Daphnia pulex: one gene and its partner. The protein of the gene in region 2 purifies or fractionates together with the protein of the main gene of each other region. This does not show direct contact. Links are inferred from orthologs where the notes say so. Each region holds a gene or a part of one and is shown on either strand. Other genes may lie near its edges.

What was found. The genes of interacting proteins can lie anywhere in the genome.
Region 1: the proteins of cryptochrome-1-like (region 2) and F-box/LRR-repeat protein 15-like purify together in Drosophila melanogaster (affinity purification with western blotting; 5 studies listed by BioGRID). This does not show direct contact. The link is inferred for Daphnia pulex from reciprocal best matches to the Drosophila melanogaster genes cry and jet.

Annotation. Positions count from the first base shown.
Region 1 is NC_060021.1:8,691,590-8,694,437, reverse strand, and holds F-box/LRR-repeat protein 15-like, read left to right. Parts: upstream 1-1,043; coding exon 1,044-1,229; intron 1,230-1,293; coding exon 1,294-1,467; intron 1,468-1,557; coding exon 1,558-1,647; intron 1,648-1,712; coding exon 1,713-1,783; intron 1,784-1,852; coding exon 1,853-1,984; intron 1,985-2,058; coding exon 2,059-2,236; downstream 2,237-2,848. Other genes in the region: trypsin-1-like, read right to left, coding at 24-177, 258-381.
Region 2 is NC_060023.1:8,042,395-8,046,144, forward strand, and holds cryptochrome-1-like, read right to left. Parts: upstream 2,809-3,750; 5' UTR 2,601-2,808; intron 2,564-2,600; exon of another isoform or gene 2,519-2,563; 5' UTR 2,496-2,518; coding exon 2,378-2,495; intron 2,317-2,377; coding exon 2,101-2,316; intron 2,037-2,100; coding exon 1,918-2,036; intron 1,849-1,917; coding exon 1,744-1,848; intron 1,671-1,743; coding exon 1,429-1,670; intron 1,351-1,428; coding exon 1,088-1,350; intron 1,017-1,087; coding exon 675-1,016; intron 597-674; coding exon 424-596; 3' UTR 172-423; downstream 1-171. Other genes in the region: uncharacterized protein LOC124197701, read right to left, coding at 3,306-3,542, 3,647-3,750. UniProt on the Drosophila melanogaster protein: Blue light-dependent regulator that is the input of the circadian feedback loop. Has no photolyase activity for cyclobutane pyrimidine dimers or 6-4 photoproducts.

The DNA of each region.
Region 1 (2,848 bases), on a different chromosome or scaffold from region 2:
CTTTTTCATTTAGTTCTGCTTACGTGATGTACATTTTTTGGTAAACACAGTGTGCTGCCGTGATAGCCCATTGGCTATTAATGATCGCTCCTCCACAAAAATGAGACATTGTCCTTTGCCGGTCTTGTCCGCTTACGGCCAACGATAGCTGCAAGGATATTTGCCACGTCACCTCTCCTACAGTTCCCGATTAAGAACAGTGTAAAGGACAATGCATATCGGATAAAATTGACTATAAATGTGTTGGAATAAAATACCATCTCTGACTTCTTCACCGTTGACGATACGTGTTGGACGAAGTGCTGGTGCATCCGCAATGGAAGCTGTATCTACTCGTGTCGCGTAATTCCATAGGAGGAAAATGAAAATGAAACGGCACATCACGACTTGGGTTACCTGATCCTAGATTTGCAGTGGCTTGGCGGAATGTCGCCGTCTGTATAAATGTATGTGTGGATTGACTGACCAAATGAAGTTCTCTCACTGTTTTTTTTTTTTTTTTTTAGATGTATGTTTAATCATGATTGGTCGCAACGTTGAATACAAGTTCTGTTTCCCCTATTTTCTCGTTTTCATTCCCGGCAATCATGTGCACTATCGTGACGTACATCCAACATGTGGTCCGACCACATTGATAGATTCACAGCTGTTTAAATATCCTTGTCATTGCCAGTATTTTGTACGCAGCTGTTTTATCAATAACGTATTCAATGAACGTTGAACCTACCGGCGCAATTGCTGCGCAAATGACACTCGCAAATGAAATTTCGAATGCGCGGAGTTTCTTGTAAACATTTAGGCCGCTAGAGGGCTTCGCCGTTTAATCCATCCCGACTCCCGAGTTTTAGTAGATGTTTCCACTATTTCCGACGTTTAGTGAAATGAAGGTCGCAATGTTTATGTGCGCAAGCAGTGTGTGTCTGTGATTCATAGAATCATAATCATAGTTGGTTCCTGATTGCTGAATGTAGGCCTAAATTTAATCACAGTGTGTTTGTTGGGAATTGGGCAATTGGCGAATGAAAGAAAACATCCAATTACAAATGCATCTCCTGGATTTGCCGGGGGATGACGTTATTTTGAAAATCATAGATTATCTGTCACCTCAGGACTGGCTAAACTTTCGATGTGTTAGTAAACAAACCTATTTCCTAGTCCATGAATATTTCAAATATATGAAATATCTTGATCTTTCTCATCACAAAGTGTTACCACAAGCCCTATGTCAGGTTCGTTGTGGTTAGTTTTACCAACTATTAAATCATAATTTAAATTATTATTCTTAAATTACAGGTTTTACCTCAGCTATGTCACAGCCTAAAAGTTTTTAAAATATCTAATTCAAAGATATTCAATGATGAATGCATTAAGACCATCATACAAAATAATCACAATTTGAATCACCTGGACTTGTCAAATAGTAACCTTAAAAATGGAACTCTCCAGCCACTTGTGGTCAACTGTAAAGTAATTAAGTTAACTATATTAGTCAACTCCTATTGCTCTTATGTGCTCCATCACAATTGTCTAATTGGGTAACATTTGATTTCATTTCAGAAACTAGAGAAAATTTTGTTGAAGAATTGTGTTTGGTTAACTGTTGGAGCCATTGAAATTTTAGCCTTCCATTTTCCAGATACAATCAAGGTTTTGTGTCAATGAATATACAGCATATTTGAAGGTTATGATGTATACTTACTTAATACTTACAGGTAGCTGACTTTAGTGGCTGCACAGGCATAAGTGAGGCTTCAATCATCCTATTTGTAAAACGACAGCCAAAGTATCAAACATAAAAATTTAATTATGAAATAAGATGCAATATTAAAATTTGTTTCTATAATATTAACAGATTGACATCACTGTCCCTGAGTGATCTCTCTTGTCTGCAGGATGAAACATTAGTTAAGATTTCTCAGTTTTGCCCACAACTTATGTATCTTGACATAAGTAGATGTTGCAGAATCACAGACTCTGGGATCAAGTAGGTTTTAATTTTTGTAGGCCTCTGTAAAAGATTGATTTTTCAGTTGAAAATGTATTATATTTTGTTTTTAGAAAGTTTGCTGAATATTGCCACACCGTGCGCACGCTGAAGGTGGATGGTTGTGAGGTCAGCGAGCGTAGTTTGTCTTGGTTGAGATCACGTGGTGTTTGGATTGACAAACCTCAATATCCTTCTTACCTGTTGCACCGCCTGAATCAAATTCAAACCTGGCCACGGACTCAGCTGTGAAAATTCTTCAACGGGATCTTCTGTACATTCCTTCTTTTCTAAGTATTATTATTCTATAGCCCAATTACCTAGTCTCAATGTCTATAATGTAAAATGACATTTCCCCCCTTCTTTTATGTCAATGAAAAAGCGATATCTACCTCACTTGGTAGACAGCCACCGCCATTTCATTAGCTACTGTGTTAATCCTAGCACTAAGAATATCCTTCTCTAAATTTCCATTGGCGCTCTTATCGAAGTCGACTTATTCTTATCCTCTTCTTTCTCTTAATTTTTATAGTTCTTCTCCCCTAAATGGCTCTGGGGAGAAGTTTTGAAACAGCTGAGTTCTGTCATCCTTGCCCAATGTTGATTGTACAACTTCCGTGTTGGCATAATCATGAATTCTAAAATTCTAGATTTCCACCCCTATCGGACGATTACGTGTTTCGTTTTAATCGTGAATGATGAACCAGGCAGTTATTTTTAGATAATGCCGCGTTAAATTTGGGTTGGTTTTTTTCTTTCTGTCTTACAACACGTAATAATAAAGTTCTCAAATGTCCATCAAATGTCTATCTTGAGATGGGTGTGAATTTGTAACGTTTTGGGATAATTGATATCAATTGACTA
Region 2 (3,750 bases):
TTCAAAACTGGGCGGGGCTGACCGCATGATCTTAACGAAGCGACCGGGAACGGACGATGACGTTAGTGACGCCGACGCAGAAGATACTATATTGCTCAAGAACAGCCAGTCTGATATGGAACGCCAAAAAGTGACAAAAAATTTAACTGCTCCAAATTATCAGTCAGTACACAAGATTTTTGAAACACCTATGTCCGTATTACAACCACATATAACAAATTACAACACAACAATAAGTATCAAATAAATAGATTCTTAATTTGGACGACTTTACGCATGAAAATATGTCCTATGGCCATTTGACGAATTACACCAATACATTTATTTGATCGAATTGTCTAAATAAGCTCCTCCCGATTAAATCTTTCGAAATAATTGTCAATTCAAAAGATAGACTCCAGAATTTGAGATATGGATATTTGTTCAGAAAGGGAGACTGTCATCTGGCAGACAGAAAAATTTATATACTTCGCTATTGGACGAAGGCTGGCAGTGAGCAGGAGTTTCTTTAAATTTTTGACGAAATTCCTTCATCCATTCCAGATTTCGAGGTAACACCTCTTCGTGAACCACCATTCGAGCAGGGTAATCTTGGCCTGTAAGGGGAAAGAGAGTATCGGATAAAAAACCTAATCTACAATACAACTTTTTATAACAGTATACGCTACACAAACCTATTATACAATTGGCAGTACGCTGAATATTAATGGGAGCCTTCCATGGCTCGTGAATATACTCGAATTCAAAGTTGGCTAACTCCGGAACGTATCTACGAATGTAGTCTCCTGATGGCTCCAGTCGCTTGCCATATAATACCGAATTGATACAGACAGAGCAATCGAGTAAGCGCTCAAAAGCTGAGCTTGACACCCACATCCAGTTGCCAGAGTTAACTGACCAGTCGGAATCTACCAGTTGATTTGCCATGTACTCGGCGCCAATGTCCCAATTGAGCCACAAATCTCCACGAGTTAGAAACATAGCTACAGCATTGCGAACGGAATGGTGCATCCATCCTGAAAAAAAAAAAAAAAAAACGGAATTTCGAAAAAAAATTCTACTTGTGCACATAAATGAAAGCATTTACCTTCTTGATTAAGTTGCCTCATCCCAGCATCAATGAAAGGATATCCGGTTTGACCATTTTTCCATTTTTCAAAAAACTCTTCGTTTTCAACCCAAGGAATTTGTAAACAGATGGGGTTATCCACTTCCTTATCGAACTTGGGATTCATCCGGCTCATGGCATAGAAGTAATCGCGCCAAATAATCTGGCCTGTAATGCCCAGCCAAGCAGGAGGGTTTCCTCGATTTACTTTATCAAAAATTTCGTGAATTTTCCAATAGAATCTGAAAATTTTTTAAAGGGATAATTATTGAAAATAAATGAAGAACTATTGAAAATAAATGAAACAAAATTAAATTTACAGCCGGACTGAGATAGCTCCCACTGAGATAGCTGCGCTCAACGATAATGGTGGACCAAGCAAATCAGGTCGAGCTTGGTTTGGCTGATAGAAGCCACTCCGGAAAGCGGTTTCTTCGGCCTGCAATCTGATGGCGAAGTGTTTTAGTGCGTTAGTTTCTCCACCAAAAATTCTTCGTCCACGACAACCAACCGGATTTTCTGGTACCCCAATTTGACTTAGAGTGGGTACTCCGCCAAATAGCTGTGTATGTCATAATTTATAGATTTAGATAAATACATAGACATCCAGTTTTTACATTTTTCTGAAAACTCACAGTAAACCTGTTGGATTCAAATGGTTCTAGGGTGAGAAATTTGACACCTTTCCATTCAGGATCAGCTACTGGTTTAGGTGGATCTCCAACTGACATTGCAACATGCTGAAAAATAAAAACATGGTAAGACGACTAAGAAATTGTACTAGTTGCTTGATTTATGTGAAACATTACCACAAACATTTCATAAGTAAGAGGTGGAGTCCCACCATTAGATGCTATAATATCCATAGGATCCCACAGAGTATGAGCAACATGTTCATAAACTTCAATATCTAATTCCGAGCAAAAATCTGAAAAGAACACATACAATTTAGATATTTGTGAAAATGTAAACATTTCTAAATCAGATCTCACTTTTTGCAGCAATGTCTCTTTCATGAAAGATAGGCTCACAATCCTGGATGAAGCAAAGTTTGTTAATGGGCTTAATATTGTGCAGGTGACGAAAAACTTCCAGCGGGCATCCTTGAAAAACATGTAGCTTGGTCCCAACACTTTTAAGACTTTCATTTAAATCTTGCAAGCATTCCAGCAAGAATCCATTCATATGGTACGGCTTGTATCCAGGATCTATATGTAAATTTATATTTAGCTAATGTTTGAATAAAACAAATTTGTATCAAAAGAATACCTTGAAATGTTGTGTCAAATACAAACAGTGCTATGAAATCCTTGGAATTTTCCAATGCAGACAGAAGTGCAGGATTGTCGTGAATCCTCAATCCTCGTCGAAACCATAATACATTCATATTGAACTATGTGTAAGCACTGCCTAAAGAAGAGTGATGAAGAGAATCCGACTACGCAGTTTGACTATCTACAAAACCGGAAAAGACGCACGGAAACCTGTTTACCTGTTTATCGAACATTGATTGAAACATCAATAATCAAGAAACCTGTGACATTTGCCGCAAAAATGGACCGGCCTCGTAAAATGTAAGGCCTGACGTGCAGAGAAAACACATGGCCTTAACTAAACTTACAAGGCCGTCAATAGAGTTTATAACCTTAGAACCCTACAGGCTAGCTACCCCATAGGAGAAACTCTAGCCAAATGCTACAGAAGTGGCCAACTTTTGTTTCTAACTCGCACCACTGCCGCTAGGTTCTCTAGGTAGTTAGTGGCCCAAATGTTCGGCGCTTAATTTGAAAACATGCCTAAACATGCCTAAACATGCCTAAGTAAAAAAAGGCTAAAGCTACAAGTCTCGCAAATCGCGAATTCTCATTCATACCATTTTTTCCATCTTTACTCGATTAAAATAATGAAAAAGGCAAGATTAACAACTCAATGGTATAATCCAGAAGAACAAAACTGAATTCATTGTAAAAGAAATTAACAATATGAAATCCTTATGAATCCTTTGAGGGAACAATTAATCAATTTAAACAAAAATCAAAAAACTTCTTAAGTTATTAGCTTTACTAGTTTGCAGGAAGGGACATCTCTGCTTTTACTTCTTCTTTGAAGGGTGGATTAGACAGCTCAGCTTGTACTTCTTCATTGACGGGTGGATTTGACATGATTGGATACAATGGATATTCAGTAGGATCAAATTTCACGGAAACCATTCGGCTGGGACGAGGACTTTGCAGGCCCTTTGCTTCTTAGGTGCAGGATTTTTCACGCTCACGACAGGCGACTTCTTAGCAGAAGAAGTTGAGGCGGCCAATTTGGCTTTCTTGTCAGTTGGAAGGTCGAATTGTTCGGGCGGTACATTATTCTTAGTAACAATATCTATTTCATCTTTTTGTGGATTGAACAAACGAAAAGATCCTGCAGCTCCATGGGCTCCCTACAAATTAAAGACAAAAATTTAAGCCAAGTGTTAACAAACCAAAGGAGAGAATTTCTCATTCAAATAACGCAACAGAAAAATAGCAAAACAGATATACTTACTTTAGTGTTAAACAGTACGCGTTGGGCGACGCCTTTCTTGAGTGCTTGTTTCAAGTGAACATTGGCCATTTTCGAATCATCACCGAGTTTGAAGGATGAAACAA